4 linked regions of the Lonchura striata genome follow. The protein of the gene in region 2 binds, or shares a complex with, the protein of the main gene of each other region. Links are inferred from orthologs where the notes say so. Each region holds a gene or a part of one and is shown on either strand. Other genes may lie near its edges.

Evidence for each region.
Region 1: the proteins of GNAO1 (region 2) and C3AR1 are in contact, whole or in part, in a cryo-EM structure (PDB 8I95), measured with the Homo sapiens proteins. The link is inferred for Lonchura striata from reciprocal best matches to the Homo sapiens genes GNAO1 and C3AR1. Residues at the interface, in NP_066268.1 of Homo sapiens: Ile28, Ala31, Lys32, Asp33, Val34, Asn194, Leu195, Ser264, Asn316, Glu318, Tyr320, Asp341, Ile342, Ile343, Ile344, Ala345, Asn347, Leu348, Arg349, Gly350, Cys351, Gly352, Leu353, Tyr354; in NP_001313404.1 of Homo sapiens: Asn57, Asp119, Arg120, Val123, Val124, Pro127, Ile128, Gln131, Asn132, Arg134, Asn135, Tyr356, Ile359, Arg362, Gly366, Arg367, Phe368, Ser371, Lys374, Thr375, Val378, Leu438.
Region 3: the proteins of GNAO1 (region 2) and regulator of G-protein signaling 16 are in contact, whole or in part, in a crystal structure (PDB 3C7K), measured with the Mus musculus proteins. The link is inferred for Lonchura striata from reciprocal best matches to the Homo sapiens genes GNAO1 and RGS16. Residues at the interface, in NP_034438.1 of Mus musculus: Glu64, Asp65, Gln68, Ser75, Arg86, Thr117, Val180, Lys181, Thr182, Thr183, Gly184, Ile185, Val186, Gln205, Arg206, Ser207, Glu208, Lys210, Lys211, His214, His236, Glu237, Asp238, Glu239; in NP_035397.2 of Mus musculus: Glu85, Phe86, Ser87, Glu89, Asn90, Glu124, Ala125, Pro126, Glu128, Val129, Asn130, Asp132, His133, Glu134, Leu161, Lys164, Asp165, Ser166, Arg169, Lys172.
Region 4: the proteins of GNAO1 (region 2) and P2RY2 are in contact, whole or in part, in a cryo-EM structure (PDB 9K20), measured with the Homo sapiens proteins. The link is inferred for Lonchura striata from reciprocal best matches to the Homo sapiens genes GNAO1 and P2RY2. Residues at the interface, in NP_066268.1 of Homo sapiens: Ala31, Lys32, Asp33, Val34, Leu195, Gln305, Glu309, Glu318, Ile319, Tyr320, Cys321, His322, Met323, Val334, Phe336, Thr340, Asp341, Ile343, Ile344, Asn347, Leu348, Gly350, Cys351, Gly352, Leu353, Tyr354; in NP_002555.4 of Homo sapiens: Asn66, Ser68, His130, Arg131, Gly134, Val135, Pro138, Leu139, Leu142, Arg143, Met221, Arg224, Leu225, Ala229, Tyr230, Gly231, Thr232, Ser233, Pro237, Ala239, Lys240, Lys242, Ser243, Arg245, Thr246, Leu308.

Annotation. Positions count from the first base shown.
Region 1 is NC_134604.1:31,235,321-31,242,526, reverse strand, and holds the start of C3AR1 (C3a anaphylatoxin chemotactic receptor), read right to left. Parts: upstream 3,008-7,206; 5' UTR 2,922-3,007; intron 1-2,921. Other genes in the region: NECAP1 (adaptin ear-binding coat-associated protein 1), read left to right, coding at 5,714-5,811, 7,115-7,206.
Region 2 is NC_134615.1:15,386,104-15,393,583, reverse strand, and holds the start of GNAO1 (guanine nucleotide-binding protein G(o) subunit alpha), read right to left. Parts: upstream 3,100-7,480; 5' UTR 2,977-3,099; coding exon 2,859-2,976; intron 2,780-2,858; coding exon 2,737-2,779; intron 1-2,736. UniProt on the Homo sapiens protein: Guanine nucleotide-binding proteins (G proteins) function as transducers downstream of G protein-coupled receptors (GPCRs) in numerous signaling cascades.
Region 3 is NC_134611.1:1,692,745-1,700,078, reverse strand, and holds the start of regulator of G-protein signaling 16, read right to left. Parts: upstream 3,011-7,334; 5' UTR 2,922-3,010; coding exon 2,842-2,921; intron 1,283-2,841; coding exon 1,181-1,282; intron 1,000-1,180; exon of another isoform or gene 758-999; coding exon of another isoform or gene 687-757; intron 554-686; coding exon 492-553; intron 1-491. UniProt on the Homo sapiens protein: Regulates G protein-coupled receptor signaling cascades. Inhibits signal transduction by increasing the GTPase activity of G protein alpha subunits, thereby driving them into their inactive GDP-bound form.
Region 4 is NC_134604.1:18,219,336-18,227,119, reverse strand, and holds the start of P2RY2 (P2Y purinoceptor 2), read right to left. Parts: upstream 3,070-7,784; 5' UTR 2,891-3,069; intron 1-2,890. UniProt on the Homo sapiens protein: Receptor for ATP and UTP coupled to G-proteins that activate a phosphatidylinositol-calcium second messenger system. The affinity range is UTP = ATP > ATP-gamma-S >> 2-methylthio-ATP = ADP.

The sequences.
Region 1 (7,206 bases), on a different chromosome or scaffold from region 2:
AAGTTGAATGCCTGCGGGTAAGAATTAGGGGGAAGGCCAACAATTGTGCTGGGGGTCTGTTATCATCCTCCCAGTCAGGAAGAAGAAGTTGACAGCTTATTCTATAAGTGGCTGGAGAATGTTTCAGGATCACCAGCCCTTGTTCTTGTAAGTGACTTCAACCTACCAGACATCTGCTGGAAGCTTAATACAGCAAAAAAGAGGCAGTCTAGGAAGTTCGTAGAGTGTGTGGAGGACAACTTTTTGTCACAGCTGATGAGTGAGCCCACCAGGGGAGGGACTATGTTAGACCTGCTGTTTGCAAATAGAGATGGGCTGGTGGGAGATGTGGTGGTTGGAGGCCGCCTGGGGCAGAGTGATCATGAAATTAGAGAGTTCTCAATATTTGGTGAAATGAGGAGGAACATCAATAAGACTCTTACACTGGACTTCTGGAGGGCAGACTTTGGTCTATTTAGGAGACTTATTAAGAGAGTTCCTTGAGAAGCAGCCCTTAAAAACAAAGGAGTCCAGCAAAGTACTGCAAAACAGAGATCTTGAGGGCACAAGAACAGACATCTTTTTGTCCCTGTGTGGCGAAAGATGAGTCAATTAGGCAAATGTACAGCCCGGATGGGCAACGAGGTTTTAAAGGAACTTAGGAATAAAAAGGAAGGTCATTCTTCCCCTGTACTTAGCACTAGTGAGGCTACACCTTAAGTGCTGTGTCCAGTTCTGGCCCCTCAGTTTGGGAAGGATGTTGAGACTCTTGAGCATGTCCAGAGGAAAGCAATGAGTCTGGTGAGGGGCCTGGAACACAAGTCCTACAAGGAACAACTGGGGGAGCTGGGGCTGTTTAGCCTGGAGAAAAGGAGACTCAGGGGTGACCTTATCACTCTCTACAACTGCCTGAAAGGTGGTTGTATTCAGGTGGAGGTCGCTCTCTTTCTCCAGGCAGCAACTGACAGAACAAGAGGACACAGGCTTAAGCTGCACCAAGGGAAACATAGGCTGGATATTAGGAATAGGTTTTTTAAAGAAAGAGTGAAAAAGTACTAGAATGGTCTACCCAGGGAGGTGGTGAAGTCACCACCCATGGATGTGTTCAAAAAAAGACTGGATTTAGCACTCGGTGCCATGGTTTAGTTGACGTGTTAGGGCATGGGTTGGACTCAGTCTTGAAGGTCTCTTCCAACCTAGTAATTCTGTGATCCTCTTCCCCAAATTCTTCTCTTAACCTTTGCTGAAGCATCTCTGAGTCAGGTGACAGTACAGAGCTGTCAGGATACAAAGGCATTGGCCTACACAAAATTGTTACTAGTGTACCTGTTGTACATCTTCATCATTTTCATAGTGGCTAAACCTGTATGTAAGCTTGCTGTTCAAACAGTGGGCTCTATGCAGTTATGTTCTCCTATCTGTGTCATCCCTTTGATTTCCATCTGGTTCTTCTTAGTCTCTAAAGTGAAGGTCTATTCACATGGCCATGATGTGCCCAGGTGTGTTTCCTGGTTGACTTCCTGCTTCAGAAAGGCAAACCAGCATTTTTAGTTCCTCTTTCCTTTAAAATTAGCAATTTCTTCTGGCATAACATTTAAGTTAAGAAAGCAATGCCTGTCTTTCTGAAATCACCCTGCTTCACTTTCTGAACATTACAAATAGAACAGAGAGGACATAACTTCTGTTGGCTAAGTGATATTTTAGGGAAGTGCCAGTGACCACTTCCTTTTCTTATACATGTGTTCTGAGCTCTCTGGTAGTTCCTTGGAAAGCTTATCTTGACCAGGAAAAAGACAATCTTAACGGTTTAAGATTCTATGAAAGATAAGAAATTAATGTTTAAGAAGAACAGACAGATATTTACTTGTAGAAATAAACATGAAAATACAGAGTAATGTTAGATATGAGGTGTCTTACTGCAAGACAATGAAGCTGACCTACAGCATACTTAAGTGATATTTTAAAACTATGACCACACAGAGGAAGAATGTTAATTGCTCAGTTATTCTTGGACTTAGTAAATTTAGAAAGGAAAAGAAAACCAGCAAAGCTAAGATAGAATTGAGAAAAAAAAACCCTGATTTTTATTCTTTAGGCATTAATAGAATTGTCTTAAAAATTCTTTTTAACTAAACCCTTGCTGAATTGATGACGGCAGTTGTATTACTGAAAGGTCCCAAAAAATGTTACCAAAATGCAAGGAAACTGAATAGGGAAGAGGTGAATACAGCCTGCAGAAGCAACTGAGAAGACATAAATAAGACAACTGACCCATTTTTAAGCTCTGTTATGCCCGTACTTAAATACCAGTCAGAGATTGTTGTATGCAGGACTAAATATAAATATTATTTTAAAAAATTCAAATAATCAATCTCACTCTTCAATAACATGCAGTCCGAAAGTGGAGTGATGCATAAGTGTGCATCACTGCTTCACTAAGAATAAAATGAGATAAACAAATGTAACAAACATCATAATTTATCAGGTTTTGGTAATGTCTGCCAAGAGACTTGTGAGTGAGGGTGACCTGCAAGGAAAGCTATGACAGACGTTACTGGAAAGCTTAATTGAAAGCTGGAGGCTTAATTTAAAATTCTCCCAAGTTTGTTCCATTTCCTGTGGTCTTGCTGATCTATGTAGAAGCAATTTTCAGAAGGACAACTGGCGAACAGTGCTGCAAGAGTTGAACCCTGCTGCCTCCCCATATAACTACAAAAAATGGTATGAAGAGGACAGGGAAACAAGAAATGCTGTAAAATAGTAATGTAAGTCCTACTCCAAAGTAAACTGCCCACACTATATTTTCCAGAGTGCTAAAAGGGCTGCAATATGGTTTGAAAATGAAAGGGACAACTGGAGGAAGGAGAGGGGTTTTCAGGAGTAAAGAATAATAAATGGCAAGTAGATGAGGAAAGCAAAATTCTCCAGTTTATGATACCTACCTGAGCGAAGCAGTGATTTCAGTGTGTTGGAGCAACTACCATCAATTCTGTCTCTGGAGTGACTGCGAAAACCCTCACATGACATTTTAGGAACTGCATTTTTTTTTCCTGTATGCATCCTGTGTTTGCCAAGTGTGTTCTTTCACCCTAATAAAATTACTCATTTCAATGTAATTTCAAGATTTAGATATGATCAGCTCATAAAATAAAAAGTCAAATCACAGGAATTTTCTCAAAACTCAAAATAAAATAGTTCTTGAAATAAAATATTAATAGAGTTATAATCACAGACATATACTTTACTATATTCTATAAGACAACTGAATGCCATCTTGCCTGTTGACACAGTGTGACCTTTGCTGGAAGTAATTCCTAAGTCCAAACCCTGTCATGTCATAGCCACTTCTATGTCTTACCAGGTGAGCACATTCACCTAGCTAATCTAATTTCTAGGGTTCTTACCAATCCAGATCAGCTTCTGTCCCAGCTTGAGACAGTTTGCTTCATCAAATACAGAACACTGTACTCACCAAACCGTTCTGCTTTTTACTTTTCAGGGTTTTAAAATTCTTGCTTTTAAAAAAGAAATTGACTGACAAAAAGTTAGAAGTGGTTAACTGAAATGGGCGATTTGCACAAAATGTGGCAAGACAATAAAAATGGAAGATTTCCAGGGCAAGGCATTTCTAATGTTTAACAAGGGGGTTCCCTCTTGCCCTTCACAATTTGGGAAATCAAGACTGCTAGCAGAAATGACAGAGCCCAGACATACAAGAATCAGCCTCAGTATTTTTGTTTTGGTCTGGAAAATGAACTGTGACAGAGCAGACTTCTTCTCTTGAGCGTGTCTGTTAAAGACACAGATGCTGCCTCCAACACAAAACCAGAAAAAGGAAGACAGACCAGGGCTGAGCTGTACCCACAAAGATAGACAGGCTGTCAGCAGCCTGCCAGGAAAATTCCTGTAGCTTCATCTTCTTCACAGCTGCTATCCTGCTAGGGGGACTCCTCGAGCCCAGACAGGCAGTGCTGATAGAAGCATAGCCTGGTCATCACCATGGGACCTGCTAGTCAAGCCCTGCTTTGCAGGAGGGTCCTTAACCAGTTCTATCATCCAAGTTAAATGTTCTATTTCAAGATTTCAACCTCTCTGCTGAATCCTTAAAAAGAAACAAACAAACAAACAAAAAGGTAAATAATATAAATAAAAATTTAAACTTCATTGGTTATTGGCAGTGCTTTGTATATTTTTGATCCAGAGATGCTTGTTTGAACCAAGCTGAAGAATGTTATGTTCTCTACTGCTTAAGTCTCAATGGAATTGAATGGGAGATACATTCCTGGTGTTCTGGTGGTGCTTGTGAGTCTTTGCTCACATGCCTTATAATAGTTGGCCCTTTGCCACTCCCTCATCCGAGATGCTCTCCTTCTAGGGGGACCGTAGGAGGACTGTGACACGCTGAATGACAGCACTGTGAAGAGGGAGGTGAAATTTAATACTGCTAATTGTGAATCACTGAACTTGGAAAAGCAGCTGCACATGGAGGATGTACTCCCAGTGAGACATTAGTGCTCAATGAAAAAACTTAGCAGTCACTGCAGGAGGTTCTAATGAAAAATTAGGTCAATAAGCAACTCTATCCAAAAGGTAAATTTAAGTTTCTTCTTGAATTGTGAATGCTGTACTGGTCCTTAATCTTAAGAAGTTATAGAACAAGAAAAAACATAGAGAATGGTGGCTAGACAGCCATGGCTGGGAATTAACTCTGCCTGCATTAACTAATGCTATTTCCCTACTGGGAAAACAAGCAAACAAACAAAACAACAACAAAAAAAGGAAAAAAAAAAAAAAAAAAAAAAACACCAAAAAGCCAAAACCAAAACAACCAACCCCAAAGCCAAGCCAAAACCCCCCAAACCAAAACAAAAATCAACAAAACCAACAAAAAACCCCACAAAAAAACCCAACCAAAAACCAAACAAAACAAAAAACCAAATCAAAACCTCAAACTTAGTGATGTTTTTGTGATTATTTTTGCCTCAACACCTCCAGGGATGATGACTCCACCACCCCCCTAGGCAGCCCGTTCCAATGCTTGACATGGAATGCTCAGACACGGCTCTATGTAATTTTAAAATTTCTCTTATGCCTTTTCTCACACTTTTCAGAGTAAACGCTGGTACTTTTTGACACTCAGTCACAAGACGCTGCACAGCACTGAACTTCAACACCAGTCTCCTCTGAGAAGCCACCATTAAAAGAGTGGTTTAAACGCTGCCAGCCTTATCATTACTGACAAATAAAACCGGTATCTGCACCCTTTTCGGGGGAAGACCCACTCCTGAAACTAAGCTTTGCACAGGTGCCGTTTCCATCACTTCCAGCAGCAAATTTCCGTGCTGTGCACCGCATTTCCTCTTTGGCTCTTTTACCACAAAGCCACCAAATCGCCGCAGCACAGGGGAGGGCGGCCGGACGGGCAGCTCGGTGCCGTGAGGGCTGCCCCTAACAAACATGGCCGCGCCAGCCCCGCCGCGACACCTGCCAGGCCCCAAGATGGCGCCGGCCGCCACTGCTGTGTCAGGGCCGGCTCCAAGATGGTGCCCTCCCGCCCCCGCTCCCCGCTGCCAACACCCAAGATGGCTTCCTCCGCTTCACCGACGTGGCCCGCGTCTGGCGCGACCGCGCTGGCGCCCCCAGGCGGTGTCTGCCCTCACCAAAGATGGCGGTGGGCAGCGCCGCTGGTCACTAGGCTCCCGCCGCTCGCTCCTCGCCGGGCTTCGCGGCCGACATGGCGGCGGCCGAGCTGGAGTACGAGTCCGTTCTCTGCGTGAAGCCCGATGTCAACGTCTACCGCATCCCGCCGCGCACCTCCAACCGCGGGTACAGGTGAGGGAGCGTCCGGCGCCCGCGATCGGCCCGGCTTGCCTCAGTCCCTGCCCGCAGGGCAGCCGGGGGCCGGGCAGTGCCATGCCGCGGCCCGGCCTCGTCCCTTGGGAACGCCGTGTCCTGTGGCCGCGAGCAGGTCTGGCCATCCCCCGAGCCCTCTCCCGCCGAGCTCGGGAGGAGCCGCCGCTGGAAGTGCCTGTGGCGGCAGGTGGTGAGCGCCTGGAGGCGGGGGAGCCTCCGCGCCGTGCTGTGGCAGCAGCGGCTGCTCTGTTACCGGGGGCAGGAGGCGAGGGCAGCGTGCTGCTCCGGGCAGGGCTGACGCCTGCTCCCGCTTTCTGGGTTCTCTGCCATGTGACACTGATGTGCGCCTTGGATTTGGCCTGGGGGCTCTCGCAGTGGTGGAGAGGGAAGCGGGGGGAATTCGGAGTGAGTTTTAAGAAGAGGCTGCAGAACCAGCAGTTACAAAGACCTCTGGTCAGCCAAAAGCAGCGGAGTGTGACTTTGTAAGATGTGCCCACAGGCCTGCTGGAGGAGTGGGTTTGTGAACTCCCTGAACCTGACAGACTGTAGGCGGATATTGTGCCTGGCTAAGGATGTTTGTTTCCAGTTATAAAATCCCGTAGATTTTACAGCACTAAGCCTGCCAGAGTTCAGGAAGTGTTTGGACAATGCTCTCAGGCACATGGTGTCATTTTGGGTGTCCTGTGCAGGGCCGGAAGCTGGATTCAGTGATCCTTCCAACTCAGAATATTCTGTGATGCTGTAGGTTGGGTTTTTTCTCTCTTTTTTTTTTTTTCCTTCACAAGAGCCTGTGGCAAAGAGTGTGACGGGTCAGTCAAAATATCTGTATGTGTGTTTTGACTGGTGTAAGTCAGCTGCCTCTAGGCTATGAAGTACTCAGCTGTGTTATTTTACAGCCATAGAGTGGAATAATGGAGTGTCTTTTCAGCATGTTACTAATTAATTTTTGGGGTCTTCTCAATGCTCACAAGTCACTTTTGTGGATTCCCTGTTGAAGTGAGTTTCTGTGCTTCTGTCTCCCCTCTTTGGTAAATGTACACAGATGAGGAGTTGATGTTCTCTGGTCTGTGTCTCTTTCCCTTTGCCCAGAGGTGCCAGTCAGAGTTGTGTCTCAGTTGGCAGCAGCAAGAGAGGAGCTGAGACCCCGTGTCTTATTTGGGGAGGGAAGTGGAATGAGGCAGCTGCAGGGGCTGAGGGTTTGGGGGGAGAGATTTCTACTGAGGTGGCTGGGCAGAATTGGAGAGGTTAACTCTGGTCAGTATTCAGCTGCTCTTCCTTTCAGGGCATCTGACTGGAAACTGGACCATCCAGACTGGACAGGGCGGCTTCGTGTCACCTCCAAAGGCAAAACTGCTTACATAAAACTGGAGGATA
Region 2 (7,480 bases):
TCTTCAAATATTTCACTCAAAAAATCCTGAATTACATTTACAAATCCTTATCTACATCCTGGCTACACTCTCAAATTACTGTAATTTCTACTTCTGCTCCTGCTATCTAACATTTCAAGGATTAACTGGGCAGTGTGTAACCTCTTCTATTCCTATGTAACAATGTCTGCTCTCTGTTCCTTTGTCTTAACATTCCCCAATCTGTCTATAGATTCCTGTGCTTGTTTTCAAGGCAATATCCAAGTGTAAAGCTGCTTCAGCCATTCATGAGGATGAGATTTATTATCTAGAAGCACACCAATAATACAGTATTAAAAAAAAAATAGCACTCTTTCATCAAAATCTAATGAACATGCGATTTAATCTTTATTAAGAATTCATTAGGTTCTCAGCAAGGCTGTCTAATGGAGCTTGACCAGGTGAAATGCTAATGCCTACATTATATTTGAATTAATTTTTAGCAATGTTGGTTTCCCCTCGTTGTTCCCCGCACATCGCTCTCCCTGGCGCCCGCGGCTGCGCGGTTCTCTCCAGATGCTGCTGCCGTGCTCATAGCAACACCGCTGTCCCCACCCCAGCCTCCACACACTTCACTGGAGTTTCCACACTCACAGATGCCTCCCCATTTCCCACACTAGAAGCCCATCCACCATAGCAGCTTCCTTGACGTTTTCATATTAGGTACAAAGCTGCAAGCCTAGCATGCCTTACTTTGAGTAGTTGTAATGAAATGCATGTATATATATACATATATATACATATATATATATATACATCCACAAAACGGGTATAATTCAGTCCTCAATATACCAATCTAGTCCAACAAACAGGTTATTATCTTGATATGATTTGCTTCAAAAAACAAGAGCTCTGCTCTTTGGAAAACAAGATTGTAGGCTTTTTGTGTAGCCAGTGTGGTCACTGCCTGCCCTCCTGCCTATGGGCTCTACATGTGCATTGTGCTGTTGTAGTTCCCACAGCCTCTCCCTTTAACCAAAACCCATCACCTGCCATTCCAGCATGCTTCTGCAGAAGCAATTCCTAGAGATTAAATTATTTATTGGTGTTCATCTGCAGCGACATGTCTCCTCATCCACGTTCTGCACACAAACAAGAGCAAATCAAACCTACCCCACCCCAGATCCAAATCGAACTATGGGGGAAAAGCCCTCTTTCAAACAGTAAAAGGAGACAATGAGAGCCTCTACAGAAGTAGGGTACACAAACGTCAGTGGGGAAAGCCACGGATACCACTGTGCACTGGAGGCAAATCTCCTCACAGTGAGACCTCCCAGCCCCGCAGCGCCTTGGGAAAAGCATTGCCTCAGGCGGGGATGATGGTTTCATTGAACCCCCGAGGGGTGGGCACAGCGGCCACGGAGTTGATACAGAAATATCCAGGTCACCCGCTAAGCCACCCTGCCTGGAGAGGAGCTGGGCTGAAGGCCCAGATCTGCCCCAGTGGTGCACGCACATGCACGCGCACATGCACACCCACATTCACACACACACGCGCACACTCTCACTCTCTCACACACAGGCACACACTCACACACACGCATTCACACACACGCTCACACACACACGCACAGGCGGGGCGGCTACGGGAGCTCAGGGCTGCAGCTTGCGAGGGGCACGGGCCGCTTTGCTGGTTCGGGGGCCCCTTTGGCTTCTCCGCGGCCCCTCCGGAGGCAGCGGAGCGCGGTGCCGAGGGGCCCCGCGGGCGCTGTCCAGCTCCAGCCGCTGAACGCCGCGCCGGGACCCGCCCGTCGGCCCGCGCGGCCCCGGAGCCCCGCGCCGGGACCCGCACCCCGCTCCCCGCGCCCCATCCACACCCATCTCTCAGCCTCTTCCCCTCGCTAAGCAATCCCGGTCCCGGGAGGGGGGGCCCTCCCAGCCACAGATCTCTCCGCAACCACCAGCATCGCAAAGCGGCAACCGCTCCCAGCTGAAATCCAGACCCTGAACCAGCGCCCAGGCTCGTTCCGTGATGGCGCCCGCCTCCAACCAGCCCGTCATGTTTGTAGCGGTGGGAGGACGGGATATTTAATTGTATTTTAATTTTTGAAAAAAAAAAAAAATGGATGGGGGGAGAATAGTCGCACCACGAGTGTACCTCCACCTCCATCAGCCTTCTCCGCACCTGCTTTCCTACGGGGTGCATTTACACGAGCCACGGGGATGCTTGTAAGGGACCGTGCGGTGGGGCTTTTCACTGTTGTTTATTACACGGTTATATCTAATTAAACACAGAAAAAGGGTGTGGGAAGCCCCAGCGAGGAGCAGCGCCGAGTACCACAGGGAGACTCGGATCCCAGAGCAGAAGAGATTTGAATGAGTGGCCAAGCTCGTCGTTCATTAATTAAAAGAAGAAGGTACAAGCTCGATAAAAGGGGCTTTCAGCGACAGAGAGCCTTGGTTTCAATCCGCAGAGCCGGCAGATAACACCCCGACATTAAGCAGAAGTGACAGCGGTTGGCTGCACGGGGACATCTGCGCCGAGGGGGAAGGTGGGCTGCCGGCCTCCCCGCACCGCCGCCGGGGGCGAGGCCGCGGGGCGCCGCTTCAGCACCAGCGGGCCCTGGACAGCGCCGGGCGCGGCGGCGGCCCCGCCGCGCTGCCTGCGCGGTCCCCTCAGGTAAACATGGCGCCCGCGGCCCTCGCTCACCTCCGCGAGCCCCCGCCCCGCTCTCCCGCCCCGCACCGCCGCTCGCTCGCTCCCCCCGCGGGACTTACTTCATTTGCTTCACGATGGTGCTTTTCCCCGACTCTCCGGCTCCTGTTGGAAGAGAGATGAGGTGGGATAAGCGCGGGGAAAGAGGAGGAGGGGGGCGATGGGGGGACCGGCGGGTTCTCACCGAGCAGGAGTAGTTTCACGTCTTTGGCCGCGCTGATCCCGTCCTCCTTCAGGTTCTTCTCGATGGCCTTGCTCCGCTCCAGGGCGGCTCTTTCCTCAGCACTCAGGGTACATCCCATGGCGGCGATGAAAATTAAAAAAAAAAAAAAATTAAAAAAAAAAAAGGGGGGGGAGGGGGGATGCAGCCCCCGCCGCCTCGGCTGGCTCCCGCGGACAGAGAGGAGGCGGCGGCCGGGGGGCAATAAAAGAATTAAAGCAAATGGCCGTGAGGCTCCGGGTAGCGCAGCGCCTCCGCGGCGGGGCTCCCGGCTCCCTCTTGCCCCTCTCTCCCCGCGCCCGAGCGCTCAGTGCATCCAGCGGGGCTGCAGCGGGCACGGCGAGCTCTTCCCGGCCGGGAGGCGGAGGCGGAGGCGGGGGAGGAGGTGGAGGAGAAGGAGGAGGAAGCGGGTTGGCGGCGGGGGAGGGCGCGTCCCTCTCCCGTGCTCCCGACTGTCGCTGTCCCCTCCTCGGCGGGCGGCGGCGGAGCCGAATGGAGGCGCGGGAGCGGCGGCGGGCGGGCGGCAGGAGGGAGCGCGGGGGCGCGCCGGGCTGCGCGCTCCCGCCGGCCTCGCCCGTGACGCGCGCGGCTCGCGCATGCTCGGGCCCGCCCCGCCCGGGCCCGCGGGCAGCGGCCGCCCGCTCTGCACGGGCGGGGGCGCGGCCCCGGTGCCCGGCCCCTCGCCCCGGGCTCCCGCGCCTTTCCCCGGGAGGGACGCTCCGCGGCTTGGGCTGCTGCCCCCCGGCCCGGTGACTCCGAGCTGGGGTCTGCCTAGGTGGAGGGTCTAAAGGGGAAGCCATACGAGGAGCGGCCGAGGGCACTTGGAGAGGAGATTGAGGGCAGAGCTCATCGTGGGCTGCAGCTTCCTCGGGAGGGGCCGTGCAGGGGCAGCACCGATCTCTTCTTGCTGTGACAGGAGCCGAGGGAGCGGCTGGAGTCATGCCGGGGGGGGAATTAGGTTGGATATTAGGGAAAGGTTCTTACCCAGAGCGAGCTTGAGCACTGGAACTCCCCAGGGCAGTGATCACAGCACTAAGCCTGACGGATTTCAAGAAGCCTCAAGGCTCTCAGGTGGAACTCTTGGGAATGTCCTGCTCTAGGACATCATCAGCCCCTGTTCAGGTAGGGCTAGGAGTTGGACTCGGTGATCCTTGCAGGTCTCTTGTGTCTCAGGCCATCCCACAGTTCTGTGGTCTGGCCCGGCAGCGCAGAGCTGAGTGCTTGGGGATGTGACAGCGGTGTGTGTACGGGGGCACTGGGCTCCCCTGGGCACTGCCCCGGCCACTGTGGGAACCCTGGCTCCCCACGTGCCCTGAGCATCCCCCACAGCTCCTGCACCCACACCCTGTGCCTGCCCCCACCCCACAGTGCTGTGTTTGTGACCTGACCTGCAAGGAGCCCTTTGGGAGCTCCTCACGGCTCAGGCAATGTGAACACTTGCAATGTGAATCGTTTACATGCTCCATGCAAAGCATCAGGTTTCACCACCATGTTGGATTATGTTTTCCATCAGTGTAATTAACGGAAGGTTTGGGTTTTTTGTGTTGCAGTGTGGTCACAGACCTCAGCAGATGACCTGCCTTCTTTTCATATCTATTCCATGACATCTAACAGTGATTTAAGAATTCTAGTGAATTAAAGTCCCACCATTTTCCTGGCAGGTTTTGCCATTTCACAAGGATGGAAAAGAGAGAAGAAAACAACTGTCGACAAGGAAAATAAAATAAATAGAACTTTGTTTAAAATGCTTTCCTACAGGCCCAGACAAGTTAAAATATACTCAACTTTAATCCATAACATTGATTGATATGTGACAATCTAGCTATAAAAAGATATAGAGAGGAAAGAAGTGTTGAGCACAGCAAGGTAAAATGCATCAAACTAAAATTAAGATAATCAAGGTTTGCTACCTGATCCATGGAAAGGACACCCACCATTTCAGTACACAAGAAATCTGCAAAGGGAGGTGTGGTTGTTCAGTAGATGTGAATGCTGAGGCTGCTGATTTTGCCCCCAAAAGCCACTCCACCTCTCTGCCAAAAAGCACCCAGCTACAGGAGGCTTGACAGGAACATCGCTGTGCTGTGGGAAGGAAATGCAGGGCTGCCCCACAGGCCTCGGGGAAGGCAGGGGGCTGCTGTTTGTGCTGTTGGGTGTGGGTGACCATGTCCTTACACTGTGTGCGTTTTCCACTTGGGACCTGATCGCTGCCTCCTCTGTGAGCATCTCACCTGCTGTCCTGAGTTCACCAGATCCCATATCCAGGACTATTTCCTTAGGGGTAGAAATGTAATTTCTAATAGCACTTAGAGTATTCTAAGCATGAAGTCACAGGCACTTTCCTTCCAGGCAACCATCATCTCCTCCCAGTGCTGTTTCCCATTTCTTCTTCCTCACAGAACATGCTCTTCCCATTTTCCCTCCTGACCTCTGAAACAAAAGGGAAAAACAGGATGTGGGTAACGAGGTAAAGAGGGGGTATGAAAGAAAAGCAGATAAAAGAAAGCAAAAGGTAATTTAGTGTATTCTACTATACATTTGTGAGCTAATAGGTACAATATATTTGAATTTTGGGTAATTTATTTCTGGAAGCTCAGGGAACTGAGATGGACAAGCAAACCTACAGCATGTCTTCAGCAGGGAATAAATGGAGATGGGTGTGGTTACAGAGCAGTTCCTGCTCTTTCATATTCGCACAAATCTCATGTGTAAAATCAATGGGATCAGAATTTCAATCAATAAGTTTCATTTCAATGGTTCTAGCTAGAGGGAATTACAAAAAGTCCTGTATAGAAAAAACACAACGAAGAAATCCAGAGGCAGCGTCCTCATGAGATAGCTGCATTTTCTTCCCATTTCCTCCAGCAGCTTGCCAGCCTTGGTCTCATATTGGGAAACTCTCCAAGGGTTTTACTAAGAGAATTAGTCTTTTATATCAGCCTCCGGCTACTCGTTATCTGACAAATTTGTAGCCTGGGTCTCCTGCCATGGAGAAAATTATTTCTCTTCTTCTTGACCAGTGTGGAGTCTGCAGTCATCCCTTTGTCCCATGATCATCCCCATTGCTACACAATAATCTGCTAATTTCTTTCTTAAGGGAAAATCAGAAATTGGCAAGTCTTCTCCTTGCTCTCTCAGCTCTCAGAAAAATTCAGGGGAGCAGCTGTGAAATTGAGCCATTTCTAAGCCACTTTTTTTCCTGCTGCTAACTGAGCAGAGCTGGTGGAAATGTTTCTTTCAAAATTTTCTTAGAGGGAAATTTAATTTTTTTAAAAAATCTGCTTATTCATGGCAGATGAATTTCAAGAACATGAAAGAAAAAAGGTTGCCTCCTCCACCAAACAAAATGCATTCCAGCCTACTTGGCTTTTGAGATAAATATATTGGGTTTTGTTGCTGAAAAAGATGTTTCCATTTTTCAGGAGCTGACAGGACTCCTCTTTTAATAAAAAGTGGTTGCTGGTAGTAACAACTTCAAATGAAAATAGGCTTCTTTTTTTCCCCCTTTGAAAATGAGAGAACCTCTCCATTAAAGGTGGAGAGGAGGCACTTTCTTTCTGGCTATCCCTGCAATTAAAGTATTTCATCAAGATACATAAAGAACTCGCTTGTTTCTGCTCAGACTGCTCTCTCCCAAACTTAAGAGTCAGCAGTGTATTTTAAGCAAAAGTCTTTATTCTCTTGTATCTGATCTGTGCCTCACCAAACCCAGCTTCTTTCTGCAACCAGTTTTCAAACATTGTGCTAGGAAAGTTAATCAGATAGTCATTTCTTTAAGAAGTGAAGGATGGTAACAGAACTGATGGATGCCATTGAAAAAGACTGTGCCAAAGTGGTAATGTGGGGTAGATGACAACTTTATGATCTCATGTGTGTTGTTTTATCCTGGCTGCTTCCAGACTGGGGAGGGATGAGCCTTCCAGAACACATCACCATCGTGGGCTCTGCTACCCAGCTCAAGGGTTTGTAGAGTGCTCTGCCTTTCTTCCTGGAATCACAGAACAGTTTGGGGTGGAAGGGACCTTTCAAAGGCATCTAGTCCAACCCCTCTGCAGTGAACAGGGAAAGATCCAACTGGGCCATGTTTCTCAGAGCCCTCCCCAGTCCTGCATTGAATGTTTCCAGGAATGGAGCATTCATCACCTCTCTGGGAACCTGCAGTGTTTCACCCCCCTCAAAATCAAACATTTCTTCCTTATATCTAATTTAAATCTACCCTCTTCTAGTGTAAAACATGACTTATTTTCTTATCACAACAGATCTTACTGAAATGTTTGTTCCCACAGCTTGCCAGGAGGTAGTAAAGAGGGGTGAGAAAACTGTTCCATGGGCCATGAGAAAGTCTCATAGCTACCACGACACTCCTACCACCACCACAGAGATTGCAATAGTATTGGAGGGAATACCACATAGGTTCCATCCCCATAATTAGTTGATATTGCAGGATCAGCACATCCTCAGAGAACTGGTGGATGGTATGAGGAGGGAGTGGGGCAAGCTCAGAATGATGTGACCATAGGAGGAAAGCTGCAAAGCTTTGCAGCTCATCTTTCACCTCCTACTTCAGGGTTGTTCTGTCCAATCTA
Region 3 (7,334 bases), on a different chromosome or scaffold from region 2:
TTCCAGAGTAGGGAAAGGGCAAGGTTATCCAGTCAAACTGCTGAATTCCTGCACCTGTGGAAGAGCCATCCCCGGAGGCACAGGACAGACAGACAGGGCAGCAATGCAGTTGTCTGAACAAGCCTGAGGGGAGGTGCCTGCATGGCTGTTTCCACCAGACACCGAGAGCAGACACTGCCTCTCCCCATTGTGGAGAATGGGGTGCTTTGGGAATACCACGATGTTTCCCCTCCTGTGACAGCAAGCAGCAAGACAACACTTCTGCCCCCCCAAAAAAACCCAGCCAGGAGGAAAGGGCACAGCTTCATGGGGCAGGCAATGAGCCCCGTGCCTCAGATCTGGGCAGGAAAGGGACTCTTTCTAGGTCCTATAACACCTCATTTGAGCAGGAGGTGAGATTTCATCTTACAGTGACTCCAGGCATACAGCTCACTATGAGTATATTTGTCCTACACACTCTCACCAAGAGAAGAAAACAAGATGCTACTCACTTTTGCTCTTGAGGAGCTGGTCAAAGGACTCCCTCCATTCCAGCACCTCTCGGGAGGAGTCTCTGGAAAAGACAAAAAGGATGTGAGGCTCACTGTCCAGCAGTGAGGGCTGGGAGCACTTCAGCTGTGCAGCTCCATCACCGGGAGACAGCAGCATTCAGCAGGAGACCAAAGCCAGGGGCCGATATCCATTACCTGTGGGCTCTCTTTCCTCTCTCTTCCCTTTCTTTCACCTTCCCTGATGGCTCACCCGACCTCATCTCCATGCTGCTCTAGGGGATGCTCAGAAGAGCCTTTTCCTGCTGGCCCAGCAGAGCCTCCCCTGCAGAAGACCCCCTGCCCTCAGCAGCAATATTTAGTGTTCCGTGTTTAATGCTGCCTGTATTCCCCGGGGATCCCAGCCGCTGGTGTGAGACACCAGGAAGTGCAGGAGCCCTGCGGGTTCCTTGCCTCTTGCCAAGGAACTTGCCTCTAGCTCTCTGTGCCTAATGCCAGAGCATCCGCTCCCCCGGCGGGTTTTATAGGCGCCAGAGCAGGGAAGCGATCCGCCTTCCCGGCCCGCCGGGGTGGGACCGCGCGGAGGGGAGCTGAGCTCCGCGCTGCGCAGCCGGCTGCAGCATCCTCGCCAAGGGCTGCTCCGTGGGGGCTCGGCCCGGGCTGCGGCCGGGGCAGAGCTTGGCTTGGCTTACCTGCGCCTAGAGCCCAGCTGCAGCTTGCCGGAGCTGCCCGCCTTGTGTCCCAGCTCGGCTTTATGAAGCAGGATGCCCAAGCGGCTCTTCAGATCCTTGGCTCTGGAAGGGAGGAAGGGAGAGAGGGAGGGGTGAGATGGGATCTCCGGACCATCGGTCTGCTGCCTCCGCCGGCAGGGGCTGCACCCCACGGGCTCGGGGGGTCAGCCCTCGCTCCCTAGCTCCAGCCACGTCTTTGCTCCCTGGTGTGTGAAATAAATGCTCCCCCATTGCTTTTCCTGCTCCCTGGCAACCGCGCATTAAGCCTGGGGGACCGGTTTCTCCTACTCGCTTCCCAGGCAGACACATGGAATACAAAGCACGACGAGCTCTTTTCTCTGGGGCAGGTAAAAGCTGCTGAGTGCCCAGCTGGAGCCCCCCCAGCTCCCCGGAGCTGGTTCCTTTTCCCACCCCGCTCTCCCCCAGTGCTCCCAAACCGCTGGAAAAACACAGCGGTTTCTTTCCTCCCGGCACAGCGGGAGCATCTCCTGCTGCTGCCAGGCTGCTGCTCCCCTGCTCTCTTTTTCGGGGTGCCCTTGGGCCCCCAGGAGCCTTTCACCAGGCCATGGAGAGGGCAGCGCTCCGCAGCGGCGCCATCCACCTACCCCATGGCTTTAGGAGGCAGGGGCAGCACGGATGCTCCTGTGCCAGAGGCTGGGATTCTCCTGTGCCAGGGGCTGGGATGCTCCTGTGCCAAAGGCAGCGATTCTCCTGTGCCAGGGGCTGGGATTCTCCTGTGCCAGGGGCTGGGGTGTTCCTGTGCCAGAGGCTGGGATGCTCCTATGCCAGAGGCTGGGATGCTCCTGTGCCAGGGGCTGGGATGCTCCTGTGCCAAAGGCAGGGATGCTCCTGTGCCAGGGGCTGGGATTCTCCTGTGCCAGAGGCTGGGATGCTCCTGTGCCAGAGGCTGGGATGCTCCTGTGCCAGGGGCTGGGATTCTCCTGTGCCAGAGGCTGGGATGCTCCTGTGCCAGAGGCTGGGGTGCTCCTGTGCCAGAGCTGGGATGCTCCTGTGCCAGGGGCTGGGATGCTCCTGTGCCAAAAGCTGGGATGCTCCTGTGCCAGAGGCTGGGATGCTCCTGTGCCAGAGGCTGGGATGCTCCTGTGCCAGAGGCTGGAGTGCTCCTGACTGTCCCCGCGGCTCCGCGGAGGAGGCACCTCCCTGCCGGGAGGAGAAGCGGCTCCTGCCTGTCCCCAGGGTGTCCCCGAGGCTGCGTGTGGCCCAGCTGCTATTTGCGTGCCCGCGGCTCGTTCAGGCGTCCCAAGGCGCCCGTACAAAAAGAAGGGTTTAAATGTCAAGCCGGCAGCGTGGGGCTTCGCGGGAGGAGCAACATGTCACTTAAAGAGTTCGGCCGTGCTGACAAAAATACTCCTGCAAGTTGTGCAGAGGCAGAGCCAGAAAAACCTGGTGTGTTTGTACAGCCCTGTCCAGCCTCCTCTCCCTCCGCTTGTTTCACCTCCGCGTTCCCCTCCTGCGGAGCAGAAGGGATGCAGCCACAACAAATGACTTGGCTGCGTGTTTTCTGCACCCCGGGTTCTACCCTACCATCACATCGGCAGCAGCAGAGGCCGGTCCGGGCGCGTCTCTTCCAGCGACCCCTCTGCCTCCCAGAAGCGCCTTACCTTTCCAGGCAAGTGATGGGGAGCGCGGCTAAGCCCCGGCACATGCTGAGAGCTGGGCACCCAGGCATCCAGCAACTCATCGGCTCCTCCCGGGGCTGGCAGGGGGTGCGACAGGAGGGCTGCGACACCAGCCGCCCCGCGGACCCGTGCTGGCGGCTGCGACGGCGGCGCGGAGCCGCGCTTTATATCGGGTGGGAGGCGGGAGAGCGGGGAGGGGGACCGGCATCACTCCAGCCTCCAGCCAACCAAGAGCTGCTCAGGCAGCGCCCGTGAAGAGGAGAGCTTAGGTAAGTTGGTGTGTGCTGCTAAGCGAGGGGGGAGTGGGAGGCCCAGGCTCGTCCTTGAGCATCACAGTCATAGCCGCTTCCCCGGGAACAGGAAAAAACAGGCTCGTGTCCAGCGACGTGTGGAGCCTGCTGATTAACCGGCGGGTGGGAGAGCGAGGGACAGGACAGACGCCGAGAGTCGTCAGCTCCATCCTCTGCTCCATCCCCTGCTCCATCCACTGCTCCATCCCCTGCTCCATCCACTGCTCCATCCCCTGCCCCATCCCCTGCTCCATCCTCTGCTCCATCCCTGCCTCCATCCCCTGCCCCATCCCCTGCCCCATCCCACTGATCCATCCCGCTGATCCATCCCCTGCTCCATCCCCTGCCCCATCCCCTGCCCCATCCCACTGCTCCATCCCCTGCCCCATCCCCTGCTCCATCCTCTGCTCCATCCCTGCCTCCATCCCCTGCCCCATCCCCTGCTCCATCTCCTGCTCCATCCCCTGCTCCATCCCCTGCTCCATCCTCTGCTCCATCCCTGCCTCCATCCCCTGCCCCATCCCCTGCTCCATCTCCTGCTCCATCCCCTGCTCCATCCTCTGCCCCATCCCCTGCTCCATCCCCTGCCCCATCCCCTGCCCCATCCCCTGCCCCATCCCCTGCCCCATCCCCTGCCCCATCCCGCTGCTCCATCTCCTGCTCCATCCCACTGATCCATCCCGCTGATCCATCCCCTGCTCCATCCCCTGCTCCATCCCTGCTCCATCCCTGCTCCATCCCCTGCTCCATCCTCTGCTCCATCCCGCTGCCCCAGGGCTTCCAAACCTCCCCGCACTTCCCCAGTGGTGGCAGCCCCCAGCGGGGTCAGGAGGGTTTGTGCTTCCTGGGGGGATACAGATGGAGCAGGAGGGTTTAATGTTTCCACTTCCCTCTTAATGGCACTGCCCGTTCACAGCTGGAATATATAAGGACAATGTGCTGGCTGAAGTTGCACTTCTTTGACACAAATCCCCTGCTGGGTGTGTGGTGAGAGGAGGGAGGGGAAGGGATGCACATCAAAAGAGCCAAAACCCGGGAAAGGATCTGATAATGGAGGATCCTGATGAAACCTGAAAATTGAAAGGAGATTAAAAGCCAGGGAGAGTTTGGAAACTGGAGGTGAAGGACTGAGCCAGCAAAAGAGAAAGATGAAGAGAAAGGGTTAAACCAGCACACACCAGCGAGCCCCAGGGTCTGGAGCTACAAGAACCAGAGGTCACTGAGAACCAACAGGCCCCGTGGTGAGCTCAGGCTCACAGGATCCCAGAGCTGCCCTCCCTGCAATTCCCAGCTCAGTGGCTCTGGAAGGGAGTGACCTTAACCCCCCTGCTCATGGCCAGCCAAGCACAAGGCCACAGCTGCCACTTCCACTCCTCATCCTCTCCCTTCCTCCCTGCTATTCCCAGCTCAGACATTTTTCCAGAGCTCAAGTTGTCTCCTACCCTTGCTGCCTGCATTCATCACACACAGCACATTGCCAGAGCATCTTTCCCAGGAGAGATGAACTGTGCCAGGAGAGTGGCAGCACAAAGTCATCTGGGCAGGAGAAAGGCTCCTCTCAAGCTGCCTTTGGGAGCAGGGGCATGAGGATATCTGGGTGGGAGACTGAGAGGGGCATGAGGCACCTCAGCCCCACCGAGCAGTAGAGTCCTGTCTTTCTCTCATCACTTACAAGAAGCCACAGAATGGTCTTGCTCATGGACAGACAGGAAGGATGCATCAGGACTAATGACTGAACACACACTTTTAGCTCCTCATGTAAGAGCAGCCTCTTTCCTGATGGCTCTGGGGATTTTCACTTGAATAATCATGTTTAAGCCTTCTTGGTTAGCAGATATTCAGCTACAAATAAATGGCTGGAGCTACACAAAGCTCTAATTCAAGTCTTCTCTGTGCCTTAAAACAAAAATTAGAGCTGTGATCTTTGCTGTGGATTTCAGGGAAGAAATAGAAGACTTGAGGAGAGAGGGCTGGAAGGTTGCCTTTGCCTGTACAGCTGCTGAGAGTGTCTGTGCACACCCAAGAATGTCTGTGCACACCCAAAAATGTCTGTGCACACCCAAAAATGTCTGTGCACACCCACAGCGTGTGTGCTTGGCATCACTTTTGGAAGTGCCACACCAGCCTGGAGCTCCACCCCAGCTCAGCACCACGCTGGGAGCACTGGGGTCACAGCAGCAGTGGCACCTGGGGGTGGGCACAGGCTGCTGGCACCCACACTCAACTGTTGCACAGAGTCAGGGCTGGAAAGGAGATCTGGAGATCATGCCAAAGCAGCTTGGCACTCACCTCCCTGCTGCAGCAGGTGACCAGAGGCTTTAGGGAGGCAATGCCCCTTCTCCTCATCCCCTACATCTACATCTCCTCGCTGGTTTTTCCACACAAATTCTGTGGAAATGTTCACCTCTGTCTCTTTCCCCTCTAGCACTGCAGCCCATCCTTGCAGCCGCAGATCTGCGAAGGCACAGGGTGCTCTGGTAACTCTCCCTGGTGTTGGAGGCACGCTCTGAGCAGGTCATACCAGGAGGAAAACCTCCAGGAGCCTGGCCACGTGTGGCAGGCACACGGGACAGATGATTCCTGGCTGCAACTCAGAGCCTGGCACAGCCACCGTGCTGGGAACCACGTGCTGCCTGGAGCAGCCAGGCAAATTAACTATGGCAAAAACACAGCTGGGATGGCAGCAACTGGGGGGTGTGAGCCAGAGCAGAGAAACTGTGCACATCTCTGCCCTGAGGCTGCAGCCTGCTGAGCCCCTCTCTTTGCTCCAGGCCCTGCTTCCCTGCTGCTTTTCCCCAGAGAAATGAAGTGCATTGGACAAGCGTGTGTGCGTGTGGTTTTACCTTGTCCCCTGTGGCAGCTTTTGAAGCTCTGGGCTCAGGTGAGGCCAAGCTGACAGTGAAGCAGAGCTGAGGAACTGCCCGTGGTGAGAGAACAACCCCAGGGAAGGCGTCAGTCAAAGGCTGTGGTTTTTTGGGGACCACAGCAGCTCAGCCAGAAGAGGCACAAAGGTGTTTGCCACAGAGCTGGCTCTGGGACACATAGAGTGCCAAATCTATGTGTGCAGGTCTGAGCCCAGGCACAGGAGTGGGATTGGGCTGTTCCAGCAATTTCCTCCTCACCAGGGCTGGGACAGGCCCTGTGGCCGCTGTGCCACAGCCACCAGCTGAGCCCTCTGCTCCCTGGGGCAGCTTTTCTGCCTGTCCCCTCCGATGGGGCTGCTCCAGGACAGGCAGCTGGGCAGCATGGGCTGCTCTAGGTGAGATATTTCATCTTGCACAGCTCTTCCCAGGGTTATGCAATAGCCTCCGAGCCCAGCCCGGCGTGTGTACTCAGATGTCTTCATGCTGCTCTGTATCTGATTGAATTACGTGCTTCCTGTCTCATTTAGCTTAGCAGCCTCCCGCGGCTCCGGCCCTGTGCCCTCCTTTATCAGCCCTTGTTTTGGAATACAAAAACCTCATCCGTGTCGCAATGCCCAGAGCCGTGCCACAGCCCTGCCAGCGCCAGCCCACCTCCCGGCCATCAGGATGGTCTCACCTCCATCCCAAAGCTCCTGGCAGCCCAGGCAGGTGCTGTGCTGCCTTCTGAGGCTGGGAGGTGGCTGGGCTGAGAAGGCACCCACAGCCACCCTCTGCCAGCTTTTGGGGGGCTACAGCCACTGGCTGGCTTCACCTTCATCAGCAGACACCCCCCCCCACACACACCCCCATCAGCCCCAGGGAGTGCTGTATTTGCAAAATGCCAGCAAAATTGGAAAACACAAAGTTTTCAGCCCCAAGCTACAGAAATGGGGTGGGGAATTGGTAAAACAAGGGTTTGGTGACATGGCTGGGCTAAGGCACCCACAGCCACCCTTTGCCAGCTTTTGGGGGGCTACAGCCACTGGCTGGCTTCACCCTCAGCAGCAAAATACACACACCCCATCAGCCCAGGGATTGCTGCTGCTGTTTCTGGGTTATTTGCAAAATGCCAGCACCTTTGGAAAACACAGAACCAAAGGTCTCAGCCCCAGAAATGGGGTGGGGAATGGGGAAACAAGGGTTTGGTGACAGGGTGCAAAGTGCCCTTGTGTATGTGCCCAGTGCACAGCTCTGAGGAGAGCTCCTGGCAGGAGTATTTTTGTGGTTTTATATTGTTCCAGTGGAATAAGGGGAAGATGCAGCAAGAGATTGGGATGGGGAG
Region 4 (7,784 bases), on a different chromosome or scaffold from region 2:
GGAATCGTTTTTCACTGCTCTCAGTTGTGGTTCCAACCCTTGGTGACCAAAAGCAAACAGGCAAGGTGCTGGGATGCTCCGGAGCCGTGAGACCCGGCCAAAATCTGAGCCTGCCCAAAATGCCTGCTTTTCATCTGCCCTTTCCCTTTGGATCCTTTTTGCCATGGTGACCTTCAGAGCCTTTCTCCTCCAGGCTGGCCCCCGCCACCAGTGTGGGCTGAGGACCTCTCCAGCTCCCAGCTCCATCACCCCCAGCACTTCTCCCCAGCAATCCCAAGGCAAGACACCTCCAAAAGTCATTTCCAGGATAGCTAAGCAGCTTTAAAGGGCTTTATCCATCTCCCTTCCAGGCAACATCCCTCCCTGTTGGGTGTGATCTACCCCTTCCTCCATCCACAAAATAGCCAGAACACCTCATTTAAACCAAAACTTCACAAAGAATCTGTTTCTGTCCCTACAAAAAAGCACCTTTTCACTCCAGAAATGCCTCAGTTTCCCCTCCTGTCACCAGGCTGAGAAAACAGCAGAGCTGAATTTGTTTTCTCCATGAAAAATATTTTTCTGGGGGTGTTTTGGTTTCCTAGAGGGTTTTTTGGTAACTTGATCCAAGCTAAAAAGAGACAGAAAATTTGGAGAAAAGATATTGCAAGTTTAAAAGAACTTTATGACTTTGTTTGGAGGTCAATAAAATGTTTTGCTTTGAGAGAAATCACTTCTTCTGGGAAGTTTTGGTTTTCCCCAAGAAACATCCCTGAATCAATCTCCCTTACAGCTTTTGCTTCCCAGGGGGTACCAAAACCTCCTGCCTTGCTCCATACCATGGGAAATCAATCGGGATTAAGCAAATCTGTGGCTTTAAAGTAAATTAAGAAAGCATTAAAAGCATTGGTGACAACGGTTGAACCTGACTCAATTCCCAGCATGGCAAGGCTCTGGGGATGGATCCTTCTGGAAGCAAACATCAACCCTGGCCAATATTTAATCCCTTCATCAATACTTCCCTTCATGCTTCAGAAAAGGGAGTGCTCCCTGCCTGTTTTTCCCTGCTGCAGGATTGGGGCAAATCCCATTTGACCCCTCAAGCTTCCAGTTTTAATTATTCCATAGGGGAAACTGAGCACCTGCATCCTTTAGGCTTCCTGGAGGTACAAAGGTGGTGTTTCTGTCAGGAGTTTGACTTTGCTTTTGCCCTGAATGACCTTTTGATGATTCCTTTGGAAGAAGCAACAGTCAGGGAGAAGAGTGTAGGACCAGTTTCTGGCTGATTTGGTAACCCTACAAGCTCCGTGTCTGGCAGAAAGGACATTTTCATGGACACCTCCCAGCCTCCTGCCCACACCAAGGGAGTCACAACCACCCTGGAAAAACCAAAGGCACTCTGGGGGACAACCAGGATAACACAATTACCGGGCTCCACCATGGCCCCACCAGAAAACCCTGCAGGGGTGGACTTTGGGGGATAAATTTTTGCTCCTCAGGCAGTTTCCCATGGAGGCAATAGGGTCTTTGCTCATGGGTGGTTCCCAATCAGGTTTTACTGGGGGCTGCTCAGCACTGAGGAGGGAGCCCGGCGTGGCCGGCAGCACGCTCGGCTGCCAGAGAACTATTCGTGGCTTTGGCTTCGTGTCAACAACCCGAGATAAAAATCGCACTGGGCAGAGACAGGATAAAGTCACTCAGTGCCAGACTGTCAGAAATCCTTCTGGGGCTTTTATAACCCTCTAAGCCCTGGGATGTGGCTGTGCTTTGGGGCTCAGCGTGTTTTGGGGTCTCTCCCTTTGCACTGGAGCCCCTGAACCTATCAGCCACCCTTTGCCTGAGGGAAAACAAGAGGAATTTGGCGGTAATGAAATGGCCTAATTTTGGCAGCAGCAACCATGAGCTAAGGCCACCATCCCCCAGTGTTGGTGGCCCCCAGAACCGGGTTTGCTGATCCTCACCTCGTGTACAGGAAGGCAGTGGGTTGCCAAATGGCTTTTGCAATAAACTGATAAGAAAACTGGAGCAGAAAGAGAAATGAGATATTTTGCCCCTAAAGTCGTTCCTGCAGTGATGTCAGCCAGTGCCCAGCTCTGGGAAGAGGGGTGTTTTGGAGGTCAGGAGCTGCTAGAAGGAGTCAAAAAGTTTGAAATGAGAGTATCACCATTGCAGTGTAAATTAAAACACTCCCAAAGAAATTACATAGGGAGCCCAGCATGGAAAGAGGTGGAAAAACACGCAGAGCAAAGCAGGGAGTCAGTTCCATGGTTTAACCTGAGCTGTGTACAAGAAATCATGGACAAACAGCCAGTGAATTCCACAGGGAACGGAGAAACTGAGCAGCAAAGGTATAATTGTGAATTCATACATTAAAAAATCCAATAGAGGAGCAGAAGAAGCAAGAGGCTTCCCTGAGTGTCCGGTTTGAACCATTTGTGCCAGCACCTACACCCTGCTACCTGCTGGTCCCACTGCCTTGTCTTGGGGCACTTGGGGACTTTTGGGCACTTTTAGCGGCAGCACGGGCAGTATGTGGGCTTGAGAGGAGGGGAGCAGCAGAGTCGGGCTGCGGCTCTGTCCGTGCAGCGCCGCACTCCCTGCTCTGGAACCCTGTGCCAGCCGTGCCACCCAGACAGCAACAAGTGCCGCCACCACCGCGAGTACGTGCAAGTGTGTGTGTGTGACATGCGGGTGTTTGTGTCCCACACATGAGTGCGTGTCCCCTTCACCCCGTGCGTGTCGCTTCTCCCCCATCTGCGTGTCCCCACTCCCACCCCGTGCACGAGTTTCCCACTCGACCCTGGAGGTCGCCGCCTGTCCTTCCTTGTAGTGGGCAGGACACGCACCCCCACATCCCCCCAAATCCTCCCGCGGTCCCCCCACGGTCCCCGCCCGCTGCGGCCGCGCTCACCGGGCGATGCCGAGCCAGGGGCTCCGTGCCGGGGGCTCAGCGCCGATCGCCGCGCTCAGGAGGAAGGCGGAGGCCGTGCCATGCCCGGCTTTGGTCCTTGGCCCGGCCCGGTGCCGGTGCCGGTGCCGGTGCCGCCGCGTGTGAGCCGGGACGGGGCGGGCGCGGGGCTGCACCGCCCTCCCGGCGCTGGGAACGGCGCTGGGACGGGGCAGGACCGCGGCCAGAGCTGCCCCGCCCGGCCCGGGACCGCCCCTTCCCCCGGGGACGGGACAGGAGCTCTCCTCCCTGGATGGGAGCGTGCGTGGGATCCGCGCTGGGGCCACGACAGGCGTCCGACCGCCCCCTCTCCTTCCCCTCCGGGATGGCGCTATGGATGGGATCGGGATTAGGGATAGAGCAGGAGCCCTCACTCCCTCCCCCGGAGATGGGAGTATGGATGAAATTGGGGCTGGGATCGGGGCCGTTCACCGACCTCTCTCCCCTTTCTCCCCCGGGAATGAGACCGGGATTAGGGCTGGGACAGGAGACACTCCCCACCCGCCAGAAATGGGGCATGGATGGCATCAGAATTGGGACTGACATTGGAAACGGACGATTGCTCCCCGAGTCTTCCCCCGGGGAGGGGGCGAGAGTTAGGACAAGGACAGGACCTCTCTGCCCTGGGAGTGGGATCATGGATGGGATTGGAGCTGGGACTGAGACTGGACTCACTTCCACGGGTGCTAGGATTGGGTGTGATGCCAGGACTGGGATGTTGGGACTTCTCATCATTGCTGGAACCAGAAGACATGGCAGAAGGTTTGCTCGAGGTTTGCTCCTTGCTGTATCCTCTTTGACCTGCTGTCCCCACAGAGCCCTACATGACACATCCTCCCAGGAAGCTGCAGGAAGCTGTGGAGGACCAGCACCACCTTCACATCTTGCCCTCTCCTGCAGGTGGCTGCTGCCCAAGGGAAGCAGTGGCCAGGTCCAACCCAGCCCTCCTCATTGACCAGATCTGGGGTGCCGGAGGAACAGGCACAGCCCCACAGGACCACGTGCAGGTGGCCCCGCTGTTTTCTGCCGCCGGTGCTCCCCTGAGTGTTCCCCATCTGTGTCCCTGGGTGACAGCCAGATCCTTCTTCCCCAGCTGGATCTGATTTCATGTGGGGGTCCTTGAGCCCCCTGGCTGTGGCTGGGGGGGGGCCATGAAGCCCCCGATGGAGGTGGGGAAGGACACCAATGGCATCTATTATTCAGCAGCAGAAACTGGTAGCTGGCTAAGGAGGCATTAAGAGGATATGAACTCATGGCATGGACATAGTGCTGCAGAGATCTTGCTCATGGACCTCCATGCCAGAAAAGAGCAAAAAAAATAAATTCCTGTTTCCTTCTTCTGATGTAATTTGTTTGAGGAGGGAAAACAATACATCACATCGCAGCTATTTGGGGCTGATAAGGGAGGAAGGACAGGCTTGCTGCTTGCCCAGAAGGAGGGAGATGCCTGCACAGAGCTGATGAGTGAGGCTCAGCTGGGTGAAGCTGCCCAGCAGTGACCTGGGTGCTGAGTCCAGCCCATTACTCCTGGATTTGGAAACACTTAATGGGCAAAGTTTGGGTTCACCCAACCACAGCACCTTGGTTTCACCCTCCAAATCTTTCACCCTCCCAAGGAGGGATGATGTCCATAGGTGATGGATGATGTCCAGGGAGTTGATGCTGTCCTTGCAGGAGCTGTGACCCGTGGTGTGATCACTGCTGCTCAATAGCCCCTGCCTGGCGCCATCTCCCCCAGCCTGGTCCTCGAAGGCCTGAACACCTGCAGCTCTTCCTCTCAAGATGAAGCCAAACAGCTCAAAAACAAAAGGCAGGCGCCTTCCTCATCTCCAGTGGTGATTAATTATGGCCAGGCCAGCTGCAAGGCCTGCTTGGCAGCTCGGTGCTTCAGCAGGACAGAGGAGATGTTTTTCCAAAAGCTGCTTTGGAGCAGGGAAGTGTCCCCTGGAGAGCCCTCTTCCCAGCAGACCTTTCCTGAGCCTGGTTGAAGTCCCAGCAGCTTCCAGCAAGCAGGACCTACCCAGCTTCACTGCCCACTGCATGGAAAAACATTTCCTTTCCCTTCTTTTGCTTTTTCTCCTCTCTTTTGGGCTTGAGGAAGATGGAAGGAGGGCGTCAACCCTAACCCATCTTACTCATTTCTGTCCTTCATGCACCTATCACCTAGAGCACCCAAAACCAGAGCCCCCTCACTCCCAGTCTCCATTTCCCAGCTTCACGGCAGCTCAAGGAAGAGGCAGATGTTTTAAATTGTGTTGAAAAGCAAATGATTTGTGCAGCTGCAGCACAGACAGAGGCAATACCCAGAGAGCCGACCTGGAAAGCAGCCCCACGTTTCCCTTCGCGGCTTCATTTTTCAACTGTTTTGGCAGCCCGGCAGGTTTCTAAGACACTTTCAAAACATTCCCATGTTGACTAGCATGCAGGAATGTGATACAGGAATGGGTGGACCGGGAAGGTCAGGCTGGCCACAGCAAAGCCTGCGCTGCACCCATGGGTGCAGCTCAAACATGCAGGGAGACACCAGCAGAAGTGATGGAGACAGGCTGTCATACATCAAATACTTTTTTCCCCCTTTTATTTTGTTTTTAAAGCCTTAGGTGCAGCAAGGAAGACAGTTTGGGTGTGTTGGGCTGAGCCTCCAGCCCTGCCCTGTGTGACTGGGCTTGCAGGAGGGACATCCCATGGGAGCAGATGTGACTTTGCAGTTTCTCAGGCTGCCTGAATTCTCTGTCCAGGATGTTCTTATTCAAGACCACCAACAACTTTCAAGGGGCAGCAAAAGCCAATGTAGCTGGAGAAAGAAACCTCTGTTCACAGTGCCCTTGGGATGCACTGGAGATGAGGTCAGGTGGGGCTGGAGAGAGATGTGGAAGCACCTTCCCAGCAGCCAAATAGGGTGGGTTGGTTGGAGGTGGGAGCTGGGGCTGTAAAACCAGCCCCAGAGTCATGGAATTAGTAGGGTTGGAAAAGCCCTTTAAGATCACAGAGTCCAGTTGTTAACCCAGCACTGCTGTGTTCCCCGCTAAACCACATCCCCAAGTTCCACCTCCACCACTCTGCCACTTCCCTGTTCCAATGCCTGATCACCCTTTCAGTCAAGAAACCTCTCTGAATATCCAATCTAACCTCCCCAGTGTAACCTGAGGCCATTTCCTCAGGTCTGTAGCTGGAGCCAGTCCCTCTGGCCATCCCTCATCCACACATGCTCTGGAGGAATCTCCTGCTGCCCTCTCTAAGGCTGCAGCACCCAGGAGACGCTGCTGGGCACAGAGAGACACTTTCCTCCCCTTTCCACCCTTTTCCCACTAATCCCTTGAACAGGAACTGACAGATGGGCGCAGACAAGGTACAGGGAGCTGTCTGTAGCTGGTGCTCTGTGCGGAACAGGGAATTTGGGCAGACCTGAAGCACATGGAGCTCTCTGGGGCAAGCAGCTGCAGACAGCGAGTCTTGAGCACATTGCTCAGTGCAGGGAGGGCTTTGCTCTGTGGCTGTGCCCATCTGGGTGGGGATTTTCTCTTCTCCACCAACGGTTGGGGATTTTTTTTTTTTTTTACCCCAGCTTTCGTTTCCTCCCCACTGAGCACATGTGATGTCTCTCCCCTCCTCCTCCTCACCATCAGAAGGGTGATGGAGGTGCCACTCACTTTTCCTCCCAGCTCCTGTGTAACCCAGGTGTTTTGGAGGGGTTTTCAGACTCCAAGTGCATTTTCCCCCCTCAGGATGATGCTTGCAAAGAGGGGTAGGAGTGCTGCCACAACCTCCCAGGCAGCAGGAGCTGCCTGCTGGGCCCTAAAACACAAGCATCCTGTTGTGGCCAAAAGTGTTTATGCTTGTAGGAAGACCATAAATAAATAAAACATCTCACACCAGGGGAGGTGTGTTAAAATTAACCCATAGGCTTGGGCTGTGTGTGCTGTGGGTTCCCAGATATGGTTCTGCTCTGCAGCCTGTCCAGGAGGGAGCAGGGGATCACATAAAGTCAAAAAATTCATCTCTGGAAGTTCATCTCTGCTTCTGCTGCCCCCATTGATGGCTTTCTTAGGAGCACAGATGCTGAGTTTTCTGCCAGATTTCATGACACTTCCACTTCCTCTGGGATTGCCTAGAAAATAGTAAATAAGAGAGATTAAAAAAAAAAAAAGCCAACAAACCCATTCAAGGTCTTATTCAAAACAGTTTAAGCAAGTAGCAGCAGCAGGAGCTGCTGGAAGAAATGTCCTGGAGGACAGAACTTGTTGCTGGATGAGGTTTTGCATTGATCTGGCATTCCATAACACAAGTAAACACATGCCCTCAAAACAAGTCCTCCTAAAACCAGCAGCAGCAACCCATCCACGTAATGGTCCCAGCCTAAAATAGTGTTGGGGTTCCTAAGAAAGGCTTCTTCCTCCTCATTTCTCTATTTGCAGAGCTGCTGAGGAGCTGTGCAGGAGTGGCCCCAGCTGTGCCTGGACCTCTGGCAGCAGCTTGGTGGGATTCAGTGGGTGTGGGCAGCTGGATTGTGGTTCCAGTCACCCCCAAATTTTGTGGGGTTACAGCTTGGCTGACCCACCAGCAGCTCAGCCTTGGGGTCAAACACAGCCTGGCACCACGATGGATTTAGCTCCAGCTGGAGATTGGTTCAAGGGGTGGAGTGGCAGGGCCCCCATAGCATCCCATGCTCCCATTTTTCACCTGATCCTCATGAAATCCACAGCAAAGAAAAGCCACAGAAAGACTCAGGAGAAAGTTTCCATTGGTGCTGGAGAAAAAGCCATTTTCCAGTAGTTTTGTTGGCCATTATTTTTGCTCTCAGCTCTCAGCAGTGAGACTATGGAGACCAGCACAGGATCCCACCCTGGAACCTCTTTGT